Linked DNA regions of Struthio camelus. The protein of the gene in region 3 purifies or fractionates together with the protein of the main gene of each other region. This does not show direct contact. Links are inferred from orthologs where the notes say so. Each region holds a gene or a part of one and is shown on either strand. Other genes may lie near its edges.

Region 1 (7,601 bases), on a different chromosome or scaffold from region 3:
GCCATGCTAGGCTTAACCTAATAAAACCACCTATCCAAAAGGGTAAGATTAACAGATTAACCAACTCAAGCCATGTCTTTTGCTTCGCAGAAAAGTTAAGTGGGTTTCTAAGCTAGACTCTTCTTTAGGTCCGCAATGAAGTAACAGTAGACACTGGGTTGTACACAACTGTCTTGAAAGCTGCTTCCAAAAGCTTCTGGCTATCTCCCTCCATTTGGCTGAGCTGAACTTCAGCATCTTCTCATCCTGTTCCTAACCTATACAAATCTTTAGCTGTAGAAAGCAGCACCCAGTTGCCTTTTGGCTTGTGCCTAGTCAGATTAGAGATCATCTGCCCAATTTTAATAAAAGGTGAACCTGGGGCTTGCAAAATCTGCCTGGAGAGAATCCTTATAGTTAACTACAACTCAGCTGTGAAGCAACAGACCAACAGCCGGGTAACAGGAAGCCATAAAAACAGTCACTTGAACTAACCTCGTATCCACTCAGCTTTACCGCTGTCAGTACGCTCCACTAATGTAACACCCAGCATTTTCAGATGAACACCACAAGGGCATAATTTACCTAGGACAGATGCAGGATAATGCTAAGCTTGTGTTGGTAGTTTATTGCTCACCTTTAAAAGCCTACTCTCGTTTGATTCAAAAGCAAGGTTGTGCTCCAGGCACCAGCAGCTCCCGTCCAACAGCTGTATCGATTCCAGTCAACCTTTTCACAACTTCTGTGAATAAACATTTCACCAAAACCTCACGTATAAGAAACCAATACTTTTTCTTCAACCAAGAAGAGAGTTCAGGTGCTACCAGGAAACACGGAACGGACCAAACTCATCCTAGGTTATGGCTCCACTGAAAATCACTGGTATTTCCCAGCTGAGTTTGGTATGGTCTGTTTTTCACACAGCTACATATTGACTGAAATTACCCATTCCCCAAAAGGCCATGTGAATCAAGTGGCAAAACCTGCAGAAGAAAATTAAAATCATAAGGTGTAGAGGTGGAAAGAGGTGGGGAACCCCACTTCACAGCTAACTTATCACATAAATGTGTTTTCAGTCATGCAAACCCTCTACTCCATTAGAAAAAGAACATGTTAGCAAAAATATTTCCATCCCTTTCCCAGTCCCAATTTTTGGGCCGAGCCAATGCAAGAATCCTGATTTCTTCCTTCTAATCTTGTATCTTTTTCCTTTGTTGCCACCAAGGCTTCTTACAGGGCCTCTTAAAAAACGACGTTCAGCTATAATACTCTGGGCCTCTAAATAAAAAGAGAGAATGACAACTGGAAAAACCAGTTTTTCCAACTAAGAATACATCCATTTATCTGTATCCAGCCAGAGAATTCTGTCACCCTGTCTGTCAGATCCCCTCAACTCCAAGACTGTCATTTCAGAGAGTAAATCCTAAGCAAATGCAGAAATGAAAGCCACTGGTTTTCCTAGGTGTTGAGGGCTTTTCAGTTGCATAATTTGCATTTATGACTTCAACTTTCTTAGAGGGATAAAGTTTACTGGTTTTTGTCTTAAAGCTTATGCGGTGGGCCAGTCGTGCTCCATTTTAGCATCAGCATACCACAGAAACACATTGACTATAAGGAACAAGCAGAGGCAACAGCGAATGCTTGTGTATCTGGTGTCTTCCAGGGGCTGGGAAACATAAGTTCAAAGTTCGGCTAGGAAAAGAAAAACAAAAAAGATTAAAACATACAACAGATGAAGATGAACTATGGTCACAAGGGAGCGAAGCGAGAGCGCCTGCATTGTTGTGACACTAAACATTTGGCAGTGCTTTGTGTTTACCGCGCAGGAGACACTGGAAGCCCTTGACCGCGGTAAAGGAGTCATAAGAGCAATCCTTGTGCTTGTAAATGGAAAGGAGAGTTTATATTTGAGGCTCAGGCTTATTTCCGTTAACTTAACGGTGAAAGCCCCTCAGAATTCAGTGGCAGAAGCACAAGGTTCTTTAAACGTTTCCTTGTTCTCAAGTTGCATTGTTCCTCCTGAAGCAACGCAGCGCAGGTCATCCCTTCCAAAGGACTGACAAAGCACTTTTCAGAAATCTGTCGTGCAAGCTAACTGAGACCAGAAATTATAAAATTCACATACAATCATGAGCTCAAGAAGGTCTCTCCATTCTTCCTACTGTCCGTAACAGGTCATCCACCCACATCGACCACTGTTAATTGGTGTTAATACTGAGTTGTGAGGCCTGACTCTACAGCTCCTGTTACAGTTTGGGGAGAGCCCCGGCTGGTGCTAGGGTAATACCACAAACATAGAAGAGCCCCAAGAGGAGATTGAGTTTGGCTGTCCGCTGAGGAATTTTGTTGAAGCTCTGACTCCGAAACTGCCTCTCCAGTGAAAATGCCATTGGGATGGTGAGAAGAGGCAAGGCCATGCTGATGGTGTAGCGTGTGGCCAACACACAGAAAATCAGGTAGGGCAAGAAGAGCAGCACGGTGTAGAGAATGTAGGAGAAGGCAGGGCCGATGAGGATAGCCAGGGTGACAATACCCGCCTGTTGGTCAGACTCCATGTCTCGCGTGTTGTTGCTGTGCAGGATGGCCTCGGTACTGAGAGCTAGTGGGATAGCGTAGAGCAGCGGTGAGACAGACAGATAACCAACCTGCACAGCATGGGCAAACATGACAGCCAGGGGCCCAAAGGTGATCAGGATCACCACGTCTCCAAGTGCAACATATTTAAATCCAATTCCTGTGGCAAGACACAAGAATAAAATGAAGTGTCATCAAACGACTCAAACTACAGAGGAGAATGGATTTTTTTTATAACAGATCAGCTGTTCCCACAGAAGCATTGTAAAAAAACAACAGGTACATACCTAAAGCTGACAAACGTTCTCTCTTTTTTTCTTTTCTAAAGGTAATAAAAGAAAAGCAGCTTCTGAATTTCTCCAGCCAAACCACTCGACAAAATTAAGGGCCGGGTTCTAATACCCTTCTTCACACCAAGAAATACCCTATTTCCACAGAAATCAATAGAAATAAGGCACTCTCTACAGTGATCAGACATACTAGATCTGACCCTGAAGAAACAGATAAAACGCTCAGAACAAAACACAAAACTGACAAGGCTCTTTCAAGTAAACTCATGCGACAGTTAAAAGTTTGCTCCTGTTTTCCTAAGCAAAATATTTTATGTTTGTATTTACCCAACCCAGGAAGACATCAAAACATCCTCTTCTATGCAAAAAAAAATTCTCTCCTTAGTAAAAACAAATACAAAAACTATTCTACAGTCCCAGTGAAACTCCTTCTGAAGAATAACAACATATTCCAACACAATGCATAATGTAATTCTACCCATAAAAAAGAATATATGCAGTGAGCTATACAGTCAAGGGACACCAGATACACATCATCCAACGTTTCAGCAAGTTTTGAAAAGCACCTAAAGTCATATATGCAATAATGTCTCAATAGCACTTGCCAGCTGAAGAACTGAGTGCATCTACTCCTATGCCTTCCCAAAACAACCAGTGACAAAGAATACCAGTCTAAGTATCAGTACTCTAGGAAGTGTCACCAAATAGCTGTACAATAGTTAACCAGATCACTTGGAGCTTCCAGAAGCCCTTAGATAAGTCAGTAAACTCTCCCACGTCCGCATCAGAATCACAGGGAATGGGATATAACGCTTACCTCCAGTATAAAGGAAGGAGCTGGAAAGTCCCCCGAAGTAAATCAAGGCCAGGTGCTCCAGCTTGAGTGTAGAGACACAGTAGAGCCCAGCAGCACAGATACAGCCCACAGTGTAAAGGAAGACTCCAAACCGGACTACATCCTGAGGTTCTAAAATCTGGTCCACCAAAGTCCTGTCATCACTCTTCTTGTGATCAATGCCTTTGGAGAAGTCATAGTAAGTATTCACCAGGTTGCCTGCTCCATGCACAGCGAGGACAGTCACAGCGCTTCCCACCAGTAGCCCTGGATCTAGTGCTCCTTGGGCCCGGTACGCCAGGGCGCTGCCGAGCGCCACCGGGGTGAGGGAGGCACTGAAGCTCCAAGGCCTGAGGGCCAGCACGTAGGCTGCACATTTCTGCCTCCAGGAGCCGGGGGGGCCCCTCTCCGGCACAGCCAGCCCGGAGACGAAGTCGCTCCTCTCGCCGCCCCGGGGGCTCTCTGCGCCAATGCTGATCTTCTGCATCAGCTCTCCCGACCCCATGCTCTGCCCGCGGTCCCGGCCACACCGCCTCACAGCAGCAGCACCTGGGAAGGAGAAGGGCCGCGCGTCAGCCTCGCCGCCCGGCCCCGGGGCCCCAACGGCCGCGGGCCCCGCGGAGCAGCGCCACGGCCGCCGCCATGCCGGGCGGGCAGCGCCTGAGGGGCCGCGCGCGCCGCCCTCACCCGCTCTGACAGGGCGCTGCGCGCGCGCCTCAACGGCCGCCGCCGCCGCGCGCCCCAACCGCCGCCGCCGCGCGCGCCCCAACCGCCGCCGCCGCCCCGCGCGCCTGCGCCACAACGGTCGCAACGGCCGCTGCCCCCTGAGCCCCCCCTCCTCCCCTTCCCCGCCGCAGCGGCGCCGCGCTGAGGGTTCCGCCGCAGCGCCGGGCTGGGGAGGAGACGGGGGGAGGCCCACGCAGCTCCTTAACGGCCCGTAAGTACTTCCCGCCCCGGTGTAAACGTTAAACGCCCCGCGTTGTTACGCACGGCTGCTAGTGGTCACTTCGAAGCACATGGGACGACAAACACGCCGGCGCTGCTACACGGTGCCATTACGGTAACGGAGCACGGCTCCGCCGCCGCCGCCGCCGCCGCCTTCCCCCCGCCCCGCTGCCCTTGGCGCTGTCATGCGAAGCCGGACACATTTCAGTGCCGCACACCGGGCGCAGCCCCGCTCCCCTCCCTCCGCATGCGCAGAAAGCGCACACGCTTTACGGAGGGGCGGAAGCCGGTGGGAGTCCGGAGGGCAGGCCTAGCCCGACTTTTCACCAATCGAGCATTCCTGGCCCTCCCATTGGTCACTCCGTACTGTCAGTTACTCCCAGCTGGCTTGATGATTGGTCGAGCCGCCACAGTCGCTCCTAGCGGTTCTCGGGAGAAGGGGCGGGGCCGGGAGGGCGCCTTCCCTTCTCTTTTTCTACTGGCCGAAAGCCGTGCCCGTCAAAGTCTTTCGGCGCGCCTATTGGCGGGCGGCGGCTGGCCGGCCCGGCAGGCGCGGGGGGAGGGGAGGGCGCAGGGGCCCGGAGCGGGGGAGCCGGTGGCGGTTGGGGCGGAGGCGGTGAGTGCGGCTCCCGGAGCCTCCCCGTCCCTCCGGCGGGAATAACCCCCCCCCCTTTCCCCCACCTCGCCGCTCACCGGGCCGGCGCCTCGCGCCCCGTCAGCGGCACCGGCCTCCAGGCCGGCCGCGGCCTCGCCGGCGGGAGACCCCGGCCTGGCCCGCCCCACCCCACCCCACCTCACCTCACCGGCATCCCGGCGGCGGGGCCCCGGCGCCGCCTCGCGGCGCTCCCGCTGCCGCCTCACGGCGCTCCCGCCGCCCGGCTCAGCCCTGGCGGCGGCCTGAGGGGGCCGGGGCCGCCCCGCCGTTTCTGTGACCTCGGTGGGGCTCTGCGGCGGTGCGCGGGGTAGAAGGCGCTCAGGTGTCGCTCCCCGGCCCTGCTGGGTGCAAGCGCGCAGCTTGGGTTTATACAGCCTGAGGATCCAGGGGGGTTCAGGACTTCAGGGGAAAGACAACTTTCCCCAAGGAGAAGTGCTCGTAAGAAAGTTTGGTTGTGCGTTGCGATAGTAAACATCCTGTTGCAGTGATTGCCGTTGCTGACAGTAGACTTCCCCCTTATAAATACGTGCTGGAGGATGTAACGCTTACCAGGCCCAGGGTGCTGAGTCTTGGTTGTGTAGCTAGACCAGCGAGGCTTTTGGGGAGGTCCTTGGGCGAAGGTGTTCATGGAGGAGTCAAATACGGCAGCGACACAATGACAGAGCTACTTATTTTGCCTACTTTTTATAGAGTGATTCTAGAGCTTGGTTCTACCCTAGTATCTTTTCAGCTGTCGCATGCCCTTTAACTTAGGGTTAGATCCCCATAGGATTAGGAATCTGACCTATTGGAGGTATGTTTGGGGAACTAGGGAACGAGGGAGCTGGGTCATGACGTTATGTGATGATGTGGTTTTATCACAGTGTTGTAGGGCCTAGGGAAACTAGTCGTTAGTTATATTTTTTACACTCTTTCAGAACAACTTCCTTTCAAGCTTTGGGATGTGTATTTTGGAGACAGTCAGTAGGGGCAGTGTCAAGGAAGAACTTCAGATGTATGCAATAGCTGAAAGCATTAAAAAGATTTTTCTCTGAAGTACTTACAGGACTTGATGCGCCGAGCCCCAGCACACCGCCATCATGTCAGGCACTGTGTCCATTCTCCAGCAATTTGCCAATGGCTTGAAGAGTCGCAGCGAAGAGACAAGGGCAAAAGCTGCCAAGGACTTGCAACACTATGTCACCATGGAGCTCCGCGAAGTGAGTCCTGCAAATGAGAACGTTTATCACATGGGTGTAATGCATTGGCTGGGTACTTTGGGGGTGGAGATTTTGGAATATGGAAACTGTCTTAGAGAGGAGGTCCAGCAAAGACTGGAGCTTACCTTTGCCCTGGCATGTGGGCAGGGTGCCTGAGTTGGGGACTCCGGTGATGGCCAAGCACTAGAATAAATACAACCTGATAGGTCTAGGGCACAAAGAAGAGCTATACCATTTTGTGTTTGTAATGTATGGTTAACTTAATTTCTTTGTGTTTAAGGGACCTGGAAAGCGTTGTCTTTTTGGGGGTGTCTGTGGTCGTGGAGAATGATGAAAGTTGATTTGAACTTTTTCATTTTGCAGATGAGTCAAGAAGAATCTACCAAATTTTATGATCAGCTGAACCATCACATATTTGAGCTGGTCTCTAGCTCTGATGCAAATGAAAGGAAGGGTGGCATTCTGGCTATAGGTGAGTGAAAGTGCTTAATGCCTTTGGTGAGTTTTCTCTTCACGCAACTACTCTTTAGGGACAGCTTTTCAAAAGGAATGAACTTTTTTGATCGTGGCCTTATGTTTGACCGCTTAGTACGCTGGGTGCGTGCTAGTCACTGGGTTCTCTTGAAAATCTGTCCAAGAGCGTCAGCATGGGAGCTGCTGAGTGCTGAGAGTGGCTGAAAACCTGGTGCTCCGTGGGCGCTGAGCTCTTCTGGGAGCTGAGCATCGAATATGAGCGCCGAGCGCTTGAAAATTCTGATCTTGAGCTCGTCTGAAAACAGAGTTTGTGCTGTCCGCTTATGTGTGTCATGGTGGGCTGACTTTCCGAGCTCCGTTCTGCCTGAGGACATTGATTCCTGTTATTTAAATTCACTTGGCTCAATGACAGCAGCTTCCATCCCTGGGAGGGGCTCACGTAGCTTTTGCTTTTATTCTCATCAGCTGCTCTATCAGTTGCTCTGGTTGTGCTTTCACTGTGATATGGCAGAACTGCCTGCATTGCGACTCCTAGGGAAATCAGCTTGTGTAGCCCGTATTGTAGCATTTGCTTTTTTTAATAGCCAAATAGGAGTTGCCTATGGGTTAGGCTCGCAGACGTAATCGTCCGACCCCAACATATTTGAAGA
Region 2 (7,810 bases), on a different chromosome or scaffold from region 3:
AGTACGAAAAGAGCACTTACGGCCTTTACAACCAAATTTCATTTAAACTCATCTATATAACTGACTTGTAAAAGGGGTATTGTGATTTATCTCCTTGAGTGTAGTCTTGGGTGTGAGAGTTTATTCACTTGTTTCAGGCAGTTGTATTCAAGGCAGCATTTTGTTGTTTTGAGGAAGTCTTCCATTATGTTGATGTTCTGCCTCATTGGTTTGTCCACCCAAGCAATTAAAATGCATTGGAGACGAGGTGACGGCCTCAGAAGTGAATGAGCTGAGTGTATCACTGAGCTGTATCACTGTACAAAAATAGGTCGTCTTTTTCACTTCTGTATCCTGTAGTGCGGATGCCAGTGAATGGCCTGCCTGGGGTGAGTGCTCGTATCCCGACTTAGATTTCCTGGATCTTGCTGCCAGCCGAAGGGCAGGGAAGGACTGGAATGCGATACGATTATTGTGGGAATGCAGCGCACACTGTCTTCCAGTCTCAAGCATCTGGCTGTGCCTGGGGGCTGGAAGTTCATTTTTACCTAATGGCTGTAATTTTGGCAGTATTTGCAATGGGATGTAGCAGTCTAACACAAATGTATGTTTTGTTCCAAGGAACGCTCTGCGCAGTTTCACTCTCCAGCAGTTTGCAAAAATGGAACCTTCCTTGACACAATCTCTGCAAAATAATGGTGTGAAAACCACCCCTTGCCTCACTCCTTGCATTGTTCTTTTGGTGTTGAAATATGCTAAGTGGAAGACTTATTCTTTTATTCCTAAGGTGTCCTGTTTATCCTCCTCTTAGGGAATGTTTCTGAGGAAAAGCTCTGCTATCCAACATGCATGTCTGTGAATCCGGCAGGACAAGGAGCAGAGGAGGGAACACAAGCACGCCTGGTGAGAAATGCCTCAAGAGTGCCTTTGAAGTGTTCATCCAGCTCGTGGGAGCACAGATCCCTAAAACTGAAGGGAGAAGGGGTAAAAGGGAGAGGACTTGGCTTCATATATAGGCTTTGGAAGGATTTTCATTTTCAAAAGAAGACCAGGCCTTGTCCCTTGGTGAGGACCTGGCTGCCTGCAACCTTGTAGACAAGAAATGAAAGAGTAGCTGTCATAGGAAGAAAAACAATCTTAAAGATGACAGAGACTGGGATGGGCAAAAGTAAGAGTATCCCATCCTCTTCCAGCTCAAGCTGAACAGATGGGAAGGGACCCGCAGCATCAGTTGCCTAACGAGAAACTCAGCAAGATTCTGAGAGGAAATGGTATGGTGCAGGAACCTTTCCTCTGCACATGTTTCAGGATATCCACTTTCCATTCCAAAATCAAATTGCAGCCACAGATTGAGAGAAGGGATTTCAGGAAAAGGAAGCAGCATTTTTTCCCCTGTACCCAGGGCTGGTTCGTATGTCTGGGCTTTTCCTTTTTTGTATCTTGGCCCTCATGATTTTTTCGTGTTTGGGCACGGAAGAGCAAAGATCTCTGCAGAGCATACATCCCTTGGATGTTTGGCACTGCTTTCTTACCTACTTTCTGTGTTTCTACAGCTTGTGGAATCATATAGGATGGAAAATAACCCCCATGGTTACTGTGTGATTCTTAACAACTACATTTTTAAAAATCCTGAAGGCATGAGGAAAGGAACAGTGAAAGATGGAGGTAAGTACTTTTTAAAATCCAACTATTGGTTTGGTTTTTTGTGTTACCCTCCGAAAGAATTGCCTAATCTTTCCTGTGAAGAACGGCCACTTTGACTAAGCTCCTTTGCTTCCAGAATAAGTAACTAGAGTGACAGTCACTGCAAAAATTGGAAATATGCCACTTCCAACAATTTTGGTGATGGCTCAAGGAAGGTTGAAAAAAAAGAGTATCATCTTAATTGTTTGTGTATATATCAAATAGTGAAGGAGGGATTACTATTCCGTCTTCTCAGGTTTTGATTTTTTTTTTTTTTTTACTTCTTAACTATCATAAAGTAACACTTTTTAAGTCCTTAAATTCTCTTTAATGATTTCTTTGCTTAATTTACTGAGTGAAAGGTGTAGCTTTGCCATGCTATCAGCTGAGAAAGCATTCTGATCTAGTCAGCATTGCATTTATTTGCAGCAGTGCTCAAATAAATGCAATTCTATTGCTTTATCATTTTCCTTAAGTCTTTCTTCCTGCGAGAGTCATTTGTTTATCTGGATAAACTAAAATCTGTCTTATAAAAGCATACATCACTAACATTTTAACCTTAACCTGTCTGCAGCCTTCTTGTTTCCCAGCTGTTTTCTCTCTGCCAACACAACACCAAGTCAGCGGTTGCTGAGAAGTCTGCATGGTACCTTGTCTTTGTTAGTGGCCTTTCCTTTTCTCTGCACTGATCATTCTCACATAATAAGGAACCTACATCATTTAAGAGTGGCAGAATTTATCATGCTAAAGAAATACTTCTTCTTTATCTAACTAAGGGCTGTTCTTAAGCATCTGAGATTGCTATGCAGCGTACGGTTAAACACATTGCATAACACACTAAGCTTCACTAAATTGTACTGATTAATCAGATAATCTGAAATCCACTTTTGTTTTAGACAGTGTGATGTTCACCTCTGTTGTGTTTAAAAAAAAAAAAAAAAATTAGGCATCCCTGATTTTTCTTAAAACTTGGCAGGCTGAGTGTCAGTCAGGTGAGTTTATTGGTGGGATCTGAATGCTTCTGCCAGTATCTATCCTACCACACAGAGCCTTCAGTTTCCTCATCTTCCTTATCACTGTTCATGTTTAACAAGTGCCTTCCAACTTTCTTTTTACAGAGGCGCTGAAGAGAGTCTTTAAGTGGCTTCAATTTGAGACAGTTGAGTACATGGATCTAGAAGCAAACCAAATGTATGCAAAAGTTAAAGAATACAGCAAGAAAGATCATAGCAAAATGGACTGTTTTGTTTGCTTCGTCCTTTCACATGGTGAAAAAGACAAAATAAAAGGCGTTGATGGGGAGTTTGTAAATATTAAAGATTTGCTCTCTTGCTTTAGTGGATCTAACTGTCCTTCTCTTGCTGGAAAACCCAAGCTGTTTTTCATCCAGGCTTGCCAAGGGTCTGTAGGTCATCCAGCTGTCACATTAAAAGAAGACTTTTCTGACCATCTTGAGACAGACGCTGTTCCTCTGGTTTCCATTCCCGACCAGGCTGATATTCTGGTTGGCATGGCTACTGTGGAAGACTTTGAGTGCTACCGCCACGCAAAGACAGGCAGTATTTACATTCAGTGCCTCTGTGACAAAATGGAGTTGCTTTGCCCACTGTAAGTACTGTTTTTAACCCAGGTACAACTGGGGTATTGTTGAAATACATACTTAAGCATGCTGTGCTGAAACATGGCTGTTTTGCATTTGCTCTATATAATGCTTTTCACCTGCAGAGCAGTGTCTGCTTAGTAATTATTCCGGAAGTGGGCACTGTTATTTTTCTTCTACAGATGAAGCAAAGTTCAAGTGACTTACCTAGTTTGTCTGTTACGGAACCAGAATTGTAATGTTGGAACATTACATATAAGCAAGTTTGTGTTTATATATTTGAACACACATCATCAAGTGTGTAAAACATAAAAAGCATGTAAAACAAGTGTGTAAACAAGTGTTTAATACATAAAAACAAGTGTGAACATGTTGTTTTAATGTATCTTTAAAATGACAAGGGATCTTTCTTCCAGTGACACCTGATGACAGGCAAATTTGTTGCTTGAGTACACAGGCAAAAAATTAGTACCCTTTATTCGTACTTTTCCCTGTTTCCTCGCCCATGTCCACCTCCCAACCCTAAACTTGATTTAGAAAATAACATTTCTCTCCAGGCACCGCTTTCTCGTGAAGTCCAGCGGACGGCTTGGAAAATGCATAAATTTGCTTCTGTGTCATCTTAGTGCTGTCTTTTGACCATAACCAAGGTAAAGGAGTGTGTTTGTTTGTAAAGTGATTCTACACAGAGGTTACTTTATTCCCCAGTACATACTGAATGCTGTGATTACACAACAGAGCGCGCAATTTCAGTGACAGACAGGATGACGGGAAGATACCAACATTCCCCAAGATCTCATGTTATTGGAGTAAACATAGGTCAACTTCTTGGCCTAGTTGAAAGTACCATGTATTTCAATGTACCTTTTCTTCATGTTTGTTCAAGGCGCAAGGACCTGGTAACCATCCTGACAGAAGTGAACAAGGAAGTGGGAAGAGCAGTACTAAATGGATGGAAGCAGATGCCAAAGATATCATCAACCCTAAGGAAGCAGTTGATCTTCCAAATTCCACAGTCCCAGTCAACTGAAAATTAGAAAAATAAGGACACGGTCAATTAGGAATCACTCTGGAAGGCGTCTCCTCATGGAATTCAAGAGAATTTGCAAGAGGAATTATCTGCATCTATGTAGTTAGTTCACAATCCTGCAAGGGGCCGCGTGGCCTCAATTTTCTGATTCCCATGCTTATTCAGTCTCCTGGCACCTGAGTTTGTAGCAGCCTAGTAGAGCAGGGGAGAAGTACGGACCTGCTTTCCTGTCCTGCAGAAGCAGTGTAGTCTGTTCAGTCCTTGTTTCGAGTGAGGAAGCATTTCCGAGCAGTATGATTCTTAAGCGTTGTTGGAAATGTCAGTGGAAATACTATTTTCAGTCTGTGTTGTTAAGAGAATACATCCTTGAAATCTGAAGAAAACAGCAATTAGATGCAGAGTGCAAGGATCGCTTCCCAGGGAGTCCAAGTAAGGTTTTAACAGATACATCAGCAGTGAATCATGGGCTATCTGGAAGCTGTATTCTTCACAAAAAATAATGTCTCTGCCAAGAAGGACCAAAAAGAGGTGGTGATGACAACAATCATGATACAAGTCTGCACTTCTCTGATTCTTTCCCTCCAAAGTTTTATTTGCTTCCTGTTATTAATTAACTCAGTTAAAAAGCACTGAGATTTGTAAGTTTTTTTTGATAATATGGGTTCTGATTGTGGTTTGTTTTTTTTTTTCTTGGCGCGCTTAAGGGCAGTCTGTATTGAATAACTGTCAGACATGTGGAAGGAAGGTCTCACTCCTTTAGAACCACAGTTCTGAGATGGCTTCCCCTCCTGGCAACTGACTCTAGGTGCCATGGGCTTTTTGTAATAAATACGCCTGGTTTCTCTGTCACCCTTGTCACTGTGGTATTTCTCGGATGAGTTGACTGAGGCATGTTCAGCATGACAAACACCTTGCTTCTTCTGGAAAAGTTATCTTTGCTCTCATTGAAGTGTTCTATGGCAGTCACCCTGGGAGGTGGCAGATTGATATCCCTTCTTTAGCAAATGGAGAAATGGTAGAGAAGAGTGAGCTAAAATTCAGGACTTTCATGGTTGTATCAGCTGCTGCGAGTAAAGCTCATTTTTTTTCTTGCATCTTTCAGCAATGAGTAGTGGCTTAGGGGAGCTGTGTGGGATTCTAAAGGCTGCATCCTTTTTGAGCTTTACAACAAGGTAAAGGATGGATCTGAGACATTTCCTAACTTCTGCTTGTTTTAGATTAAATTTCTCGGAGATCACGTCTAAGCTATAATACAGGGGTTCTTCACTCGATCATGCTTGTGTTCTTGGTGTGAGACTTTTTTTTTCCCCCCCCTTAATTCCAGGCAACGTGTCGGCAGTTGCATTTTGCTCCGCTTAATCTTTTTCACCTCCCAAGTAAAAGGGAGAATGTCCATTCCTAGAATTACAGCTTTGTTCATACAGGTTTCATACATAGTAAATAGAAGTTACAACCACTATGTAAATGAGTGTGGTGTTTGTGGCAAATATTTGCTGAAAGTGTTGTTAGTTACGGTGCAGTTTTGTGGTTGACATTTGGTAAACCATTTAATGAAACATCTAGCATCAATTTATTTACCTTCTTATAGTGTTTTCATAAATGAGGCCCTGCTATGAAGTTAGTAGTTAGATTTGTGAATGTTTTATGGTACAGAAATGAAGCTTAAACAGGGTAACTGCATCCTCTGGGAGAAACTTACTAGAAGATGACGGCTAAGATTGAGAAAATGTCATTGGTGAACTTGTGCATCTGCAGTATTTCTTTTTCTTCATATTACTTCCCCCATCATCAGCCTTGCATGGTGTTTTGTTCTACCTATTAAGCTGTGACCACTCATCTCCACAGCCAGTGTTATTGCCTGCTCATGAAGAGCCACTAAAAGAGAAAAAAGCCAGTGAAAATCCTCTAAAGCAGTAGTTCTCTTGTACCAATGAACTGTTGCCTCATAGTCAGGCTTATGAGTTACTATGAACAGGTAAGCAAATCAAGCAAGTCCAAATGAGCAAAGAAGTAAAAGGGCTTATCTCTGAAAGCACCCAGGTTAATATTTGCAGTTAATTTCATTAATGTCTCAGAAGGCATCTCTAGCTTGTACAAAAGGCATACTTGCAATGAAAACTTAAGTGTTTTCCTTATCAGTTTTTTTTAACATTGGTTTGTGCTACTGACTGTATTGCAGTGTTTTTCTAAGACCAGAGAAAGGTCAAGGAAAGTGAGGTGGGGGTGGAAGAAGGGGGAAATGTGTTAGGAGCTAATGTATTGGGAGGATAATGAGAAAAGAAAGTGATTGTGGCCATACAGACAAGGACTGGTGGCAGAGAAGAATGCCTGTAGTCTGTTCTTGGACACACTGTTGGATTCGGCTGTTCTGTCCATGTCCAGGCACAGCAACGAGAATTAGGAGCTTTGGTTCTTACAGGCCTTGAACTCTGGCACTGACACGATCTGTTTTCGTCCCCTTTGCCTCATGCATATTGAAATATTCCATCAAGAATAAGTTACGAAAAGAATCATAGTTGCAAGCCGTTGCAGGAAGCAGCCATACTAGGAATTTGTATGCCCACTGTGGCTCGTGCAGTGATCAGGGAGAAAACGCACTCTCAATTCTGTGGTCTTGAGCAAAGTATGATTCACAGACTCCTATGGGAGATTGGCTGATAAGTCTTTGCACATACTTGTGGCCCTCCCTGTAGGACTGAGGCAAGCCCCCTAGGACTGTTTGGCTCTACAGTTTTCGGGCTCTGTTTTTCCTCTTTCTCTACCTTTTCTGATAGCAGAGCTTGGAGAATAGTGAGCAGCCATTTCCTCTCCTCTGCAAAGGTCCTCAGCTACAGTTATTCACCTGTCTTCTGTTTTCTTTGACTCCTGGCGGGCAGGCCAAATGCTATAGTAAAACAATGCTGGCACTCAAGTCTGTGTTTGTTTGCAGCCAGCAGAAGTATCATCACTAGAAAGTGGAGTCAGAAAGTTGGTAGGAAAGTGAGGCCAGTGAGTTGAAGACCTACAGGCTTAAGCTGAAATCAGACAAGATCAAAGTGATGCTGTTTGAAAAGGAGAGAAGAGTTGGGGAGGATCACTGTCTGCAAAGGCAGAAACAGTGTTACTGGGTGATGTGAATCCCTGCCCTGTCATTTGCATCTTGTTACGTATTTGTTCAGTTTAATCCCTGAGAGCTGTTTGTGCCCGCCTTCCCTGGTGAGTTTGTCATTCTCTCCACTGAAAAGGTCTTTCGTGACCTGTCGTTCATCACCCACTGGCAGGATGGATTCCTGGCATGTGTGAGGAGCCTGCTTGTGTTGTGGATGCTGCCTGCTTTCTCCCATGGCACTGGCTGCTGAAATACATGTTTTCCCACTGGTTCCCACTGCCTGTATAAGGGTTCACTCTCAAATCGGTGAAAAGTTCAGCTACTGAAGAATTTTGATTAAAATAGTTGTTATGTCTGTGGTCTGTAACATCTCCTGCAGGGAATCTCGAAGCCCAGAGAGGGCGTTGAAACAAAATGCCCCCGGTTTAGG
Region 3 (7,507 bases):
TAATCCCAATCATTTACTTTGATCATTTACTCAGATATTGAAGCGAATTTATTCATAATGAACCAAGGAAATTGTATCACTGTTAAAAAAGGAGTCTGCATCAAAGTAAGGATAGAAGAAGAAAGATCAAGGGAATGGAAAATTATCTTGGAGTCTTGACTAATTGATAATGGCATAGTGCAACCCCCTATGAACCTGCTGAATTTTCAGCATGTTTCAACCTTTTGTTTTGATGACATGCCAGACCAAAAAAAGAAAAAAAAAGGCAGACAATGACCATTTCAGATTTCCACACAGCCCATACATTCTGAAAAGCGATGTTTGGTACAGTACAAAAAGAGACAGCCTGAATAACTACTTGCCATGCTAGTATCTGCCTCATACTTATGGTGGCTGAAGAGGGCAAATGAGGAATTTCCAACAGAGTAAACACTGAAGGCCAGATTTATGCTACTCCTCTCAGGGCTCCTTATGTTATGTGAACAGTAGAACTATAGCACAGAGGTGCTTGTGAAGCGTGTGGGGTTGCAAACTGTAGTCCCACTATTACTCAGCAGTAAGTCAACATAGCTGAAAAAGCATTTCCACTTGGCTCAAAAACCCCAATATTTTTCCGCAGTGGGACCAGTAATGTCTGCCAGCCAGCATCCTTTTCTTCAGTACCTCTGGCCCCACTGGCTACAGCAGGAAGAACAAAAAAAAAAAAAAAACAAACTTCAAACTATCTATGCCCTCTGAAATACTTGTTCAGGGCACACCAACGTTGCGGCTAGCTAGAGCCAAATATAGGAACCACGTCCCTCAAGACTCCTGCGCAGAACAGTAACACTACTAACAATGTATTTTCACATGGAGAGACCCTCCACACTACCCGATACATTACTACTCCATTTAAAAAAAAAAAAAAGCAAAATTTATTTTAAGAAAAATAAATGCATGCATATTTAAAATTTAGAAATCAGTTGGTTGTATTAGGAGAGCCTACCATTACGATTATGAATCGCATACAAATATACAGGGGACAAACATCAAGTCAGCTAGTCTTGATACATATCATGATAAGTTGAGGGAGACCAGAAACTACTGAAAACTGGGTAGTGCAACTATTAGGAAGTTATCTGGTGGAGATGGGAGTCTGGAGGGCCAGAAGGAATAAGATGGATGATAACCTGCCAGACGGACTGGGAAGGTGCTCCCAAGCCCATGGAGGCCAAAGCACCCTCTTGCACAGGAGACAAGCATGTCCCTCCGCACAGGGAACTAATGTCCCTCTTCTCTTCACCCACATCACCACCACTGACAAAATCCACTTTCAGCTGGAGCCCTGGAAAGGACTTTGCCAGGATAAGAGGAGACCTCATACTTCTCCTGTCCAGAGCTGTCTTGTATATCCTCCTCCAGAGCCAACTGATCTAGAGAGTCAATGAGCATCCTGTAAAGCCCTAAATAGAGGAAGGTGAGGCATGAGATGCTGCAAAGGCAATACAGTTCACTGTGCTCAACCAATGGGCAATGTAATTCACACAAAATTTCCTCTGCTCATGTAAAGGGCAGTGCTCACAGCCTTCACAGCTGGGAACACATGGAAAAGTTTTCCTCTAGTTAATGAAGACTGCATATTCTAAACACACCCCCTAGGAATACACAGCCTTGAAATGGAATAAACTCATTTTCTCATCCATTCTCCGCCCCAAACAATATAGTTTTGCATGTTACTGATGCATTCCTGTACGTAATTGTATGAATGGTTTAAGAAATGAAATATAAACAACCTCTTATTAATCTATTTAATAACCACAGCTGTATTTTGCACAGACCAGAATGCTGAATTCCTTAATTACACAAGTAGAGCCATTGAGTCAGTGGGATTTTTTTTACATGAATAAAGACTAATCACATGATTAAGCACCACTGGCATGGACCTTTGAAATGGTTATTTCCAACATTAAGTAACAAAAAGTACTAAGTTTACAGAAGCATTCACTGAAACTATACTATTCAATAGCATATTCTACAGGTATATTTTCCCCTCCACACATGTAAAGTACTGTCTGTGCCATTTACAGTAGTAAATGAACAACCACTGTTTTATAAGACGGTATGATAAAACAAACAGAACTCAGTAGACACCTAAGCTAATAAGACTCAAAGAACAGAAGAATCAGCTACAATTATATGACTTTACACTGTACTAGACTTTACTACATACTACATTACTTAATTACTTTAACATGTAATTATTATGAATTCTCTGAAAAAAGCAGTAAGCAGAGATTAAACAGCTATCGTATGCAGCATCTTTTCCCAAGGTATAATGCACAGGATGCTGCACTTGGGAAAAGACAAAGTGCGTTGTGAGCTCTGCCAGTGGCTTGCATAAGGTACTTTAATTCTCTGTTTTCTAGCTGAAAAATGATGATAATAAAGTATTTTTGGTAAAACGCTAAGATAATATGCAACTCTCGAATAAACATGCTTAATACATATTAACCAGATGGTCTTTGGCTTCCACTAATTTCTATGCCCAGGTGCTTCGTACAGAATTAAGCATATTATCAGCATTTAGCAGACAATAAAACAAGACTAGAATTTCAGAATGTTTTATGAGCCACAAGATTATTTTGTATAATTAATTATACAACATACTGGTCTGCTGGAAGCATGCATACATACGATGCAAATGACTGCATTACTACCAGATTTAAATGAGAAGAGCTTAAAGTGGAAAAGTCTTCTGGCAGCGGCAAGCACCAAAAGCGGACCTAACAAAACCACCGCAAGCTGAGAGAAGCCGACCTTAGCCCCACCGACCGGCAGGATCTCCGAGTGAGTCGGCAACACCGCTAGTCAACAGAGGGCACAATTTCACTGCCTGGCGAAAAGATTTCTAGCAAAAACTCTAGAAAACCCAACACAGCCGCTCCCGGCGCGTTAACCGCCTGGCTGCCGGGCGGCGGAGCGCACGCACGCCGCGGCCGGGCCCGCGCCCCCGCCACTCGCGCTCAGCTTTTCCACGCCGAAGCCCCGTTCACTCGTGCATTTCCCCCCGCCGCCTCAGCCCGGCAGCCCGGGCCGCCGGCGCTGGCGCAGGGAGCGCAGCGGCTGTTACCTCTCGGCGGGCGGGATCCTGCGGCGGCGGCGGCGCGGCGGGCTTCGGGCTGCGGGCTCCGCTCCTAAGTCCTGCTCGGCAGCCGGCTGGCGCGGCCGAGCGCGGGGGCCATGAACCCCGCGGAGCCTGCGCTGCCGCTGCTGCTGCTGCTGCCGCCGCCGCTGCTGCTGCTGCCGCCGCCGCCGCTGCTGCTGCTGCCGCCGCTGCTGCTGCTGCCGCTGCTGCCGCCGCCGCCGCTGCTGCCGCCGCCGCTGCTGCCGCCGCTGCTGCTGCTGCTGCTGCTGCCGCTGCCGCTGCCGGGCTGGCAGCGGCCCCGGGGTCACTCGTGGCGTCGGGCCGGGCTTCCCTCGGCCGCCCCCTCCCCGCCGGAGCTGCTGCCGCCACTGCCTCCGCTCCAGAATGAAAGGCTGCGCCGAGCCTCTTGTTTTTTCCCTTTCTGTTTTAGTGCCCAAGCAAAAACCCCCACCGGGGATTTCCACCTTCAGCGCTTGGGACTTTCCGACATGTGACAACCGCAGCGCCGGCAGCGGCAGCAGCCGCCGCCGCCTGCGCCGCGCCGCCGCCAGGGGGCGCCCTGGGGCCCCGCCGCGCCGCGCCGCGCCGCGCCGCGCCGCGCCGCGCCGCCCGACCTGCCGCGCCGCCCTGCGCCGCCCGGCCCGGCCCGGCCCAGCCCGGGCTGCCGTTGCTTTCCTGCCTTCTGCCCGCTCCCGCCTCGCAGCGCAGCCGGGGGCACATAAAGAAGCCGGGGGTTGTAGGTGCCCTGCCGGGACTGGATCCTGGCGGTCACATCCCAGTGAGATGGGAAAGGAGCCCGTCCCGTCCGAAGCTCTTGTTCTTCTTGACTGTTTCCAAACTCAGACCAGTGTTCTTGTCTTAGGTTACATCTGCTCCATAGTTTTGGCTTTGTGTTGTAAGTAACCACAAGTGACTTCGTTTTTTTTTTTTTTAAATTAAAGGTTAGGCTCTGTTATATAATCATATAACTGCATAGGCTGGTATTTTAGGCAGGAAGTGCTAATATACTTTAATCCAGTCCTGCTCAAGGGAAAGCCATTGGAGGAAAGGGACAGGACTTCTGACTCAAGTTGCCAAGAGAGGGGCATCTTAGTGTCTGAACAGGTCTGAACGTGAGACTGTGTAAACTCTTGGCTACACCTAGCAATCTATAAGAATCATTAAAGATCATGGTTACAATCAATTCATACCTTAACATCTTGAAATCTTTGCAATGGAAAAATTCACTTCATGATACCTAAAGCTATAACCTGTAATTGTAACTTAAGATCTTGTGACTGTAGATATTACTTATGAATGTGATTTATGCTGGGAAAAAAGCAGGTCCTTGCCCACTGGCTTGCAACCTGAAGGCACACAGAAATGAAATGTAGTGCAACAGAGTTTCTTGCAGTCTTAAAAAACTTTATCCTTGTAGATGCTGATCTCCTGCCAGTTCCTGAGCATCCTCTACTCCCACTGACTTGATGAGAAGCTAGGGTTGCGCTGCACCTCGGAGACAGGCCTTAAATCTTGACACCTTCACAAAGCAGGTGTATCGTGGAAGATTTCGGACCTGAGCTCCCTTACCTTGCTCCCATTAGCACCAGCTGGCTCAGCTCATGCCTCTGTGTCACATGCTGTGGTTATATGACAGCATGCTCTTCCGCAGCACTGAAAGTGGTCTTGTGTCTAGCTCAGTGTACTGTGCTGTCCTTTCTTCTCTGCCTGTGTTGAAAAAGAAGTCAGGGACATGCTTGAAAAAAGAATAATCTCTTCCAATTTTTAATTTGTTTTCTAACAAAACCTCCTCTCCTTGCATACCTTTCTTTTAGAGGGTTTATTTTGATTATTTTTTTTCAATGCAGCTCTTTTTTAGCCTTCTCCGCTGCCTTGCAAAGAAGTAGTTAGCTAGGAACTATCCACACTCAAGGATTGGTAGTCTGAGAAATGACTGCGGTGCAGAGAGGCTGCGTGCCTGTGGGAACTGGGCCTGAATGATTACTTGCATAACTAGGGCAGCAGTTGGGGTGTGGTTTACCCAGTGTATAATCTGTTTTCTTCAGCAGACAAGCCACTTTAAAAAAGTCCTGCTATTCCCTGCTTCTGGACATTTTTCCCTGCCCTCTCATTTGTGCTGAGGTACCGGATTACTGAAGCGCTCTGATTACAAAACAGCTTTTTTTTAATTTTTTTTTTTATTTTTTTCTTTTTTTAATACCCAAACCATTTGTCTGGTGTGGTTTGAAGTATGCCCCCTTGGCTAGTTTTACAGGAGTTGTCTAAAGGGATGGTGAGTGTAACTCTGATGTGGCAATGAAGACCTCTGGTAGGAAATAGGGGAAAACTGACTGATTTATACCCTGCTTTATACGTGAAACTACAGCAAATGGATTTGCAGGTGATTCTAGTCCCTTCTGGTTTGGGCTCACAAGAAGAAGAAAAGGAAAATAAGTACGAGTAAGGAGACTATTTAATAGGTCCACAGGTAATAGCTCTGAACCTATGAGGGAAGCGTTGAGTCCCAGGAAAACCTGAAAAGGCAGCAGCTTATTTTTGTTATTCTAAACTCTGAGCATATCTGAATATTCGTAATTACTATTTACACCTTGATAAACTGAAAATTGATTGCGCATGGCAAGGGATGATGTTTAGTGTACAGATCTGAGCAGGATGGCAGGAATTCATTTGATCTGAGTTTGCACATCACAAAATGAAGTTCTATCTTGTCAAATGGATCTCCTAGGCAATATAGTAATACATTAAAAACATCAACAACATCAATAATTATAGAATGAATATAATATTTATAGAATAAATATACATTCCTCTTTTTAGATATACTCCTATTTCTTGTAATTATACCCCATAGTTTATCCCACTATTTATGATACAATGTTTATATTTGGCAGAATATGAACATACATGCATACGCATATATAAGGGCAAGGAAAATTTTCCTTTTTGAAGTGTGTACACACACATGCACACACACACACGCACACACACACACACACATATATATGTACATGTATATATTATATGTAATGATTCCATTTAGTTAATTGTGCTTTGGGAGGAAGAATGAATCTCCCAAGACCTTGTTCAGCTCTATTTCTCTAAATTATTTTAATAGGTTTTTTCTTCTTTTTACTGTTCAGCAAGGAGGAGTTCATGCTCACTAAATTAAACCAAGACCTCAGTGTGTTCAGAAGATTGCCACCAAGTACTTTAGAGATTGCTTTACGAAGAACTCATTTTCAAGACAATACTTCTATAACATTCTATCATAGGATGATTATTATGATAATGTTTATGGATAGTAATATTCAGGCTTTAATAACTCAGTCATTAGCCAGATCTTTTTGGATCAGATAATTCTGTAAGAGGTATGATTCATCTAGAAGGGAGGAAAAGGGTCATAAAAGGGAAATCCCTTCTATTGCAATAGCAGTGCTTGAGGTCACGCTCAAGTTCAGCGCTTCTGTCTTCCAGAAGCCCTTTCGTTACTCCTTTTCCTGGCGGTGGCAAAGTGATGAGAAGAACTTGTTGGTGTATAGGAAAAAGAGGGAGGAAAATCCCTTAAACCTCAATCAGACAGAAAACTGGTGCTTACTACAGAATCAAATAGTGATGGCAAAAAAATACCAAGACTCATCTCTGCAAGAGCTGAACTGTTTTTGTGAATTTTCCGTTATGCTCATCTGAATACAGTAAGAAAAACTCCATATTTCCAAGGAGACTTCTGCTGAGATATTGTGGCAAGGGACTGTACTCAAAGTAGGCATCCTTATTCATGCCACTGGTCCAAGCCTCACTCTTTTCTTGTTCTTCTCTTCTTTCTAATGTCCATTTTGCAAACATCAGGAAGTAAAGGGCCGGAACTGCAGTAGGGTCCAAAGATGAAAGCTCAAATATTGCCTTAGCCACCTTTGTTGAGATTTAGGTTAAACGTTAAAAATAACATTCCCACATTAAGGCTGGTGAAACACTGCAATAAATGACCTGTGGAGGCAAACACTGGACATCTTTAAGAACAGGTTATCTTATTGGCTGGTTTTGCCTTGGAGCATGGGGGTAATGGGCCCATGAGATGAAATCTCAGAGTGCCTTTTCAGCACAATTTTATGACATTCTCTGAAATTCTGTGTGAAAAGGTTGCAATGGCAAGGATAATAACTTTCCAACTTGATTTTTAGCTGTCATTCATTCCTGTGTTATCTGTACCAAATGGATCAAGCCTGTAGGCCTCTGAGAACTGCGGAAACAGATAGCTACATGTGTGTATGTTCGAGATAGGAGCAAGACCCAGCGTTACTTACCCTCTGCAATGTATAGATAGGATTCTAATAAGCCCCCAACAAGAAATAAGCAGAAGACCGAAAATATTTTAACTTGAGAGAG
Region 4 (7,636 bases), on a different chromosome or scaffold from region 3:
GTTTGCACACCTTCCAGCATCAATTCAGAAAGCTGGCACATCGTTGCTGCAAACCCAAAGAAGCAAACATAACACGTTTCATTGACTTCTAAAATATGTCCATTTTATGGCTGAATTTCAGGAGCTAGATTTCAAACTACTAGTATTCTTGTTCAGGCTGCTAGTTGCCACAAGCAAGTTTTCAAACTCTTTTTATCTTTTTCCTTGCTTTCCTTCCTCAGGCTTATATATTCTCTCATATATTCTAATTCTGGTTAAAACACTGAAAGAAGTAATTATCACACATAAGGATAATCCACCCATTTGTAACAGTGGAATTCAAGTTGTCACCCGAAAGTTAAAATAGCATAGTTACCTATTGCTTTCGTAACGGAACATAGAGACTTCTTCAACTTTAGAGTTTGGCCTACCTAAAACCATTCAAAGTTATCCCTTAAACGTAACATATTTCCCTTGACCTCAAAGGGCATGAAATACCGTACAGTACTGCAGACAATGTTGACTTCTTATCACTAGCCATGGTGGCTCAACAACTGCGGAAAGCGTAGCTTTGAATTTTGACTATACGAGGCAGGAAATTCACACAAAATCCTGCACTAAGGCGGACGGAGTTTGTTCTCCCTAACCCTAAGATTCAGGGATTGTGAAGATCACATGCAGGGTTTCAGGGCAGCCAACGCCACTCAAGACTGCCAAACTCTTATGTGCGCATCACCTAATGCTACACCGCTTTATTCAAGAACGGGGGATTTTAATATGAATGCACTTACTCAATAACAGACATCTCTAAGTTCATTTATTTTAATCAGTCAATCATCATCAATTATTTCCAAGAAGTTTTTAATTAAAAAAAAAAAGTCCTAGAGGCTGAGGAAGACTACTTATCCACCACTGAAACCAACCTGAGAAGGCCTACAGAGCACGTATACTTTATTTGTGGCTCCTACAGGTTGTTTCCAAGGCCAAAAAAACAAAACAGAAAAAGGAAAAACAATCAAAACCCCCAAACACCCTCCACAAGTCTTCTTAGAGAGCACAGATGTATACGCAACAAACAGCACAGACAGCCAAGCTTCATACATTTATTTAACAACAATACGATGCATTCCTAAGCAGAATGGATGACTTAAACTTAGCTTAGAATAACATGTCCTTTAAAAGAGTTCACCTGACACAAAATACTCTCTATTCATTGGAGTTAAACAGACATAAGTCAGGAAAAACTCCCACGTGAGAAAATTTATTCTAATATTAATTTTTTTGCACTCATACAAACCAAACAGCTACAGACTGCCAAGTAACACCACTGTTGTTTCACTGCATCATCAATGACTGCTACATACACAGCTTCTCTTAAATGCTGAAGAAAATTCCTATCAGGGCTGTAATTCTTGAACTTGTACAAGCATTTGTAGATTACAAGTCTACCCAGTTAAATACTTCCTGCAATTCTGATAATTATATGCCAGTTCTGCAACTCCTGAATGACTCCCATCCTAGAAAATAAAGAGCTCTCAAGGCACCCTTCAGGATTTGTGTGTCAATCTGTCATTTTTATAGATTTCTCCGGAACACATTTTATTCTCTCAGACAGTACAGTATTTCTGAAACTTGAATAAAATGTGCAGTTATGCTACTGAAATTTTTATTTCTTATGCTGTTTTTTCTTGCTGTACAGTCATGTACTTTAGATGGCTTGTTTAGAGCACTATACGTTTCTATATATGGGGATGGAGATGACAAGGAGTGGACAAGTGCAACCACAAGTTCAGCTTCCTTCTTTCTGCGGTCACCACCGAACGGAGGTCAAAAAAGAAAAAACAAAACCCAAGCTTTTTGATATCAACGGCCTCGCAATTCTACATCGATGCCATCCTCTGCTGCGAATAAAATTATAGAGAAAACATCCCCAAAATTTCTTTAACCTTCCTGATTAGTCCTAATCAGGACTAATCATGCTCTGGGAGGCAGAAAAAACAAAAACAAAAAAAAATGGGAAAACGTTTCCTTTCTGGTATCCCACACAACCGAAGGAAATAGGATCTAGCACATTAAAAAAGTTACTTACTGAGGCTCAGTTACCGCTAAAAATAAGGGAGGGAAGTATAGGCTAGAATAAACATAACCCGACAGAGACCAGCTTGGGTGCAAGCGTGTGTGGTCTCTCGTTTAAGAGAGTAATGAGAAAAGAGCAACACCAGACAGTGATGTCACCGCGCGAGGACAACAAAGGAGGCTGCACAGGCTGGGGGGGGAGAAAAATCAGCGTCTCCCCTTTCTAGCTGAGATTTGGGGACCACCGCCACAGCCCCTGGGCCCAGGGCTGTGCCGGGGGAAGAGTCAGCCCCTTCCTCTGGCTTTCATCCTGCCAGGGGCCTTGCTTTGTTCTCCTCACCTACGGGCTTGCGCCTTCCTCGACCAGTTTAAGTCGCCCCCGCACGGCGCCTCTCCCCCCCCCCCTTAAAAAATAATAATAAAATAATCTCATTGGCTGAAAGGCTAAAATTCGCGAGGCGGAAGGAAACAAAGAAACTTCCCCCAAGGGGGCACATTACGAGGAAGGGAGGAGGCTCAGGTAGTTGCCAAGCGCAGGACGGGGACGGGCGCGAAGTTGGCTCCTCACAGAAGGAAAATGGGGGGCGGCGGGGGGGGGGGGGGCGCCGCTCACCTGGGCTCAGCCCGCCGCCCGGCCCCGGGGCCCTGCTGCCCGCGGCCCCTTCCCCCCCCCCACCACACACCTGATATGGCGGCGGCGGCTCCTGATCCGGCTCGGTCCCATCGCCGTAGCTGGCTCTGTCCGACTGCGACTCGTGCAGCAGCGAGATGTCATCCGACGTGGGGGACTTGAGGCAGTTCCCCATCTTCCCCCCGCCCGCGGCGGAGCGGGGCTTCTCCTCCTCCGCGGGGACGGAGCGCCGGCCCCCGGCGGCCGCGCTGCCTCTGCCTCAGCCTCCGCGCCGCAGCGCGCAGCCCGCAGCGGCAGCCGCCCCGCCGGGGAGGCTCATACCCGCCCCGACCCTCAGCGGCTTAGCGGCGCGGCCGCCCGCCCGCCGCCTCCCGCTCGCCTCGGCCCGCTCCGGCGGCCGCCCCGAGCCGGGGAAGGGGGCGGGAGGGAGGGAGGAGGGGACACAGCGCTCGTCAGCCGCCCGCGGGGGCAGCAGCGGGGCTCAGGTGGGGCCGGCCCGCCCCGGACCGGCGGCGGCAGCAGCGGCGGCGGCTCAGGCGCGGATCTGCTTCCTGGTCAGCAGCGCTCTGCGCACGGGGCTTTGTCGCACAGGCCGCCCTGGCTCCTCCCCTCACTCCTCCCCGCCCGCGCCAGGTTAGCAGCCGCCGCCGAGGCCCGGGGCGAGGAGCGGGGCTGGGGGGGGGGCTCCGTCCCGGCCGCCCCTGCCTGGAGGCGGCTTCACCGCGACCCCCAAAATGGTGGGCGCCGCCCCGCCCCGCCCCGCCCGGCAGCGCTTCGGGGGGCGGGGGTTGTTTTCGGCCATTGCGGGCTGCCCCGCTGCCGCCGGGGGTTGAACCCACCTCGCCGCCCGCCCCCGCGCTGCTGCCCCCTCCCCTTTTTTCCTCTTTTTTTTTTTTATTTTTTTTATTTTTTTGCCGAGGCGGCCTCCGCGGGGCGGGCTGCGGAGCGGCTCCTTCCCCGCTCCCGCGGGCTGCGCGGGCGACACGCGTGGCAGGAGGTGGGGAAGAGGCCGGCGACCTTCCCGCTTTCCCTTGCGTGCCTTTGGAGATGGCCTTTCGGGCGTTTTATACATGGACAGAGACCAAAACAAACCACATACTTAGCTTTCTTTTTTATTATTATTATTTATAAAAATGTGTTTTATTCACTTTCTGATGCAAATGCGGATTTCAACAAAGTAAATGCCTGCACTTCCACCGTGTTAATACAGTAGCATGCGTGTAAACACCAAGACGAGGGAAAGAGTTTTCATCCATTTTTCATCCTGTAGGTGTTCTTTCCAACTTTGTCCTCTAGGATAGTTCCTCAAAATTGCTCACTGGCTTTCAAATTCAGACCTCGACATACGTTTAAAAATCCATTTTTGTTACTTTTCTTTTTTTCAGTTAAGCAAGTTGGGTGCAGATGAGGCTATTTAGAAAGTGCAGTCTCTATATAATACGGTGTAGCGTGGCCAGTTTTTTAAATGCCCAAGCGTTCGCTGCTGATCTACTTTGATCCTGATTTGCGCTGTAGTTTCCATCCTAGGTCCAAGCATCCACCAGCCACGCTGATCCGTTTGGCCCTGCAGCCTTTACTGAAACGTTCGAGGGGTCCTGCGGGGATTTAGGTGCGTGAAGAACGGGGAGCAGACTTGTGGCTGATCATCCAGGTAGCTTCTCCCTTGAGGATTTCCTTGTACTGCTGTTAAGGAGTTCTGCATTGCTGCTCTGCAATGAATAACCTAAACACCTTCAATAGAGGATCGACAGCCATAGCATAGTCATGACTGGCATCTGTGGGGTTCAAGCACGTTTTCAGTTTGGCTAAGAAACTGAGAATAAAAATGGTGCACAAATTGCGAGTTACTCATGGTGGAAAGGCTGGGCAATGGGGTGCTGTATAATAATGACTACTGTACGTGACTCGGTCATTTGGGTGTTTAACATATAAGTACGTTGACTTAGTTTAATAGGACAATTAGGAAGCCAAGCAATAGTTAGGAGCCAGTGAACAACCACCTCCCCCAGGGATGATTTCAGGGTTACGGCAATGTCAGAGCTATCTTTTGTGAGACTCTTAAGGGGAGATTCCAGCTAAGTTACAGATATTTTTAGTTGTGCAGTGGCAACGTTGGGAACAAGATTACTGGCAATTAAAAAGACTTCTTTATTCAACTGTCACTTGATGTTTTATTCCTACTGTGTATATTAAGCCTGCACAGTGACTGTAGCTATGCACAGTCCACGGGCCAGGCACATGCTTCAGTGTACCTTACAATCCTGCTCTCTCCGTCGTACAGTATAGACGTCCTGTAGGAGCAGGTGGTATCTCCCTTCTGGCTGGCATGCCAAAACCCCCTTTCTTCAGAAACCACTGTACAGAAACGGGTCTCTGGTCTCATCCCAATATGGAGTCAGCACTCAGCTGGGATATACCCTGGGGTGCCAGAGTATAGATACTGCCTTTATTTACCTTAAGTCAGATCACCAAAAGGAAAAAACATTAAGTGCTAAGCCCTTGCCCATAAGCACATACAGGATACTCTAAATCCAGGCTCAGTTTAGAAGACTGTCAAATGCCAGAAAAGATCGACTTTTTAAGATGGACTCACAGAGACCAAAGAGGGAGCACTTCACATTGGGCTTTGCAACATGGCAGGCTCTGCAATCATGAGAGCTTGGAAAGAGAAAAAGCCGTTACCAGTCATTACTGATTTCTTCAGAGTCAGGGTGCTTTAGGCTGCTTGTTGTTCTAGGCCATTTACTCCTATTTTTTCAGGTAGGTGGTTAATAATAACTATGCACCATAGGGTCAAAAGTTGTACAGCGGTCCCAGAGACTGAGAATGTAGAAATTCTTGTGCTCACAAACACAGAAAAGTTGCCCTTGTAATATCACCATATATGCTATAGTGTGATCTGAATGGACTGTGAGGCTGCTGCTTTTGCCAACTATGGTTTTTTTGCATCTTGGGAATGAGAGAGCAGCTGAAGAACTTTTCAAGACAGAGGTTGGTTGTCTTCAGTGCTCAAGAGCCATTTGGTGGGAGTTTCTCTAGAGAACACATGAACTGTTTTCACTGTTTCTCAGCATTAAGTGACAGAAAATTGAACAGATCTGGCAGGCTTCACTGTACCTACTTTCTGTAGATAAGTACATAGACTCTTCAAAAAAGGAGCTGCTTTTGTGAAAATAGACATAGAGATGTTCCTTGTACACACAGAGTGGTACATACAGATGACTGTAGACCACAACAAAGCAAGCCCCCATTTCAGAGCTGTGCATGCTGTAGGAGATCCTTGTTCCTTGCAGGCTTGGAAGCTCACAAATAAGTTTTTACTGAAATTTGCCAGTATACAGGAATAATATTCCAGTAAGTTTCAATATGATAACGTCATACACAGGTCTGTTTTGGCCACTTTGTAGTTACGATTTAGCAGCTAGCATCTTCCAAGTGAAATATATTTTTAAAAACAAAATGGAAATGTAGGAAAAATGTTTATAAAGGATGCAAGCAATTGAATGTTTGTTTTACTTTGGAGTTTTTTGATATGAGGGGAGACAAGTTACATAACACTGTATTTTTAAGGCTCCTATGATCTATCAAGAGATGATGAACTACACTACTAAAAAACCTCTACAGTTCTTCTGGATTTTAAAATCTGAAACCCACTGAGGACCTGAACAGTCTTTCTTCTTAACAGTTTATCTGCAAAACTGACATCATAAACTGCCTGATTCAGCGATTCAAAAAACCATTGGCAGCTTCATTTTACATAACCCATGGTCATTTTTTTTATTGGACATGATTTTGCATACGTTTAATGTGTCATACTCACCAAAAGTATTTGAAAGACCTGTTCAGCCTTCAGCAAGAAAAAGTTTTTTCACTTCCTTTTCTTCCCTCGGCCTTATCTTCCCAGCGCTTACCCTCTCTGGTCACGTCTCATCTTTCTTCTGGAAAAAATTGTTTTCTCAATTCATATACAGAAGCCCAGTTACTTTCTGAGTGAAATCTTTCCATGCCATGGAAGCCACAGTTTCAGAGACAGCCCCAATTGTCCAGGTAACGTTGATAAATAAGGCACATTATAATTTTTAAAACTTCTTTGGAAAAAATGTGATACATACTTTTGGGGAATACTGCTAAATGACATTCTTCTATTATACATGTGAATTTGGTTGTAGGAATGGCTGAGTTAATTTATTTGGTTATAAATAACACAGCATCTTCCAAAATACACGATCGTTTCCAGTTTTGTTGATATTTTAGCTGAATCATAGGCATTTCTGAGTATATATTACAAAGTGTATTATTTTCCAAGAGAGAGTGAATGCAGCACAATAGAGCGATTATGCAACTAATGTATTTGCCTTAAATGTGATTTGCCTTTGTGATACAGTAGTTTGCTCATGTTGCTAGAAACTCCCTAAACTTCTGCTTAAATTTGCCCAGTATCACAAATATCCCTTGTATCAGTTTATTCTAAAGACAACAACTTGGCAAGGATATGCTTTCCATTACTGGCATAAGTTACCTTCCATAATAGCTGTTTTCTCCAAATCCAGAAGTTTTTATCACCAAGGAGTGTAATGTCTGCTCCCTACATTGGGAATCTACACAGTTTGTCACAAGGCAGAAAAAGGACATGTATTTTGGCAAAAAAATTTGATCAAAATTAGACAATCATCGTACAAAAGTAATCTCTTCTAACAAGCCCTCTGCCACCCAGCTTCACAGTAAATTTTGTGTAGTAGTCAGTTTTCCTTTTTCTTAGTGTAATACATATTGCAATCTCAACTTGAAGAATGATCAGAGACCTAGAAAACAGGATCTGATAGGACAGACTGAAAGAATTGGGGTTGTTTAGCTTAAAGAAAAGTTTTGGCAAAAGAGATAATTATCTTCAAAAACATAAAAGGTCTCCGCAAAGAGAAAAGGTATAGATTGTTCTCCATGTTTAGGGGA

The links. Proteins that work in one complex are often made in the same cells at the same time.
Region 1: the proteins of TNFAIP3 (region 3) and MTOR purify together in Homo sapiens (affinity purification with western blotting, with the first as the bait; 3 studies listed by BioGRID). This does not show direct contact. The link is inferred for Struthio camelus from reciprocal best matches to the Homo sapiens genes TNFAIP3 and MTOR.
Region 2: the proteins of TNFAIP3 (region 3) and CASP8 purify together in Homo sapiens (affinity purification with western blotting; 3 studies listed by BioGRID and IntAct, with this or other methods). This does not show direct contact. The link is inferred for Struthio camelus from reciprocal best matches to the Homo sapiens genes TNFAIP3 and CASP8.
Region 4: the proteins of TNFAIP3 (region 3) and RNF11 purify together in Homo sapiens (affinity purification with western blotting; 3 studies listed by BioGRID and IntAct, with this or other methods). This does not show direct contact. The link is inferred for Struthio camelus from reciprocal best matches to the Homo sapiens genes TNFAIP3 and RNF11.

What each region holds. Positions count from the first base shown.
Region 1 is NC_090962.1:6,555,668-6,563,268, reverse strand, and holds the start of MTOR (serine/threonine-protein kinase mTOR), read left to right. Parts: upstream 1-4,595; 5' UTR 4,596-4,615; intron 4,616-4,668; coding exon of another isoform or gene 4,669-4,696; exon of another isoform or gene 4,697-4,885; intron 4,886-5,125; exon of another isoform or gene 5,126-5,239; intron 5,240-6,314; 5' UTR 6,315-6,357; coding exon 6,358-6,477; intron 6,478-6,840; coding exon 6,841-6,949; intron 6,950-7,601. Other genes in the region: UBIAD1 (ubiA prenyltransferase domain-containing protein 1), read right to left, coding at 2,226-2,713, 3,661-4,227, 4,669-4,696. UniProt on the Homo sapiens protein: Serine/threonine protein kinase which is a central regulator of cellular metabolism, growth and survival in response to hormones, growth factors, nutrients, energy and stress signals.
Region 2 is NC_090947.1:10,353,583-10,361,392, reverse strand, and holds the start of CASP8 (caspase-8), read left to right. Parts: upstream 1-4,804; 5' UTR 4,805-4,930; exon of another isoform or gene 4,931-5,141; intron 5,142-5,272; exon of another isoform or gene 5,273-7,810. Other genes in the region: caspase-8-like, read left to right, coding at 791-882, 1,533-1,644, 2,781-3,270, 4,149-4,299. UniProt on the Homo sapiens protein: Thiol protease that plays a key role in programmed cell death by acting as a molecular switch for apoptosis, necroptosis and pyroptosis, and is required to prevent tissue damage during embryonic development and adulthood.
Region 3 is NC_090944.1:74,591,473-74,598,979, reverse strand, and holds the start of TNFAIP3 (tumor necrosis factor alpha-induced protein 3), read right to left. Parts: upstream 3,009-7,507; 5' UTR 1-3,008. UniProt on the Homo sapiens protein: Ubiquitin-editing enzyme that contains both ubiquitin ligase and deubiquitinase activities.
Region 4 is NC_090949.1:31,029,983-31,037,618, reverse strand, and holds the start of RNF11 (RING finger protein 11), read right to left. Parts: upstream 3,007-7,636; 5' UTR 2,862-3,006; coding exon 2,739-2,861; intron 1-2,738. UniProt on the Homo sapiens protein: Essential component of a ubiquitin-editing protein complex, comprising also TNFAIP3, ITCH and TAX1BP1, that ensures the transient nature of inflammatory signaling pathways. Promotes the association of TNFAIP3 to RIPK1 after TNF stimulation.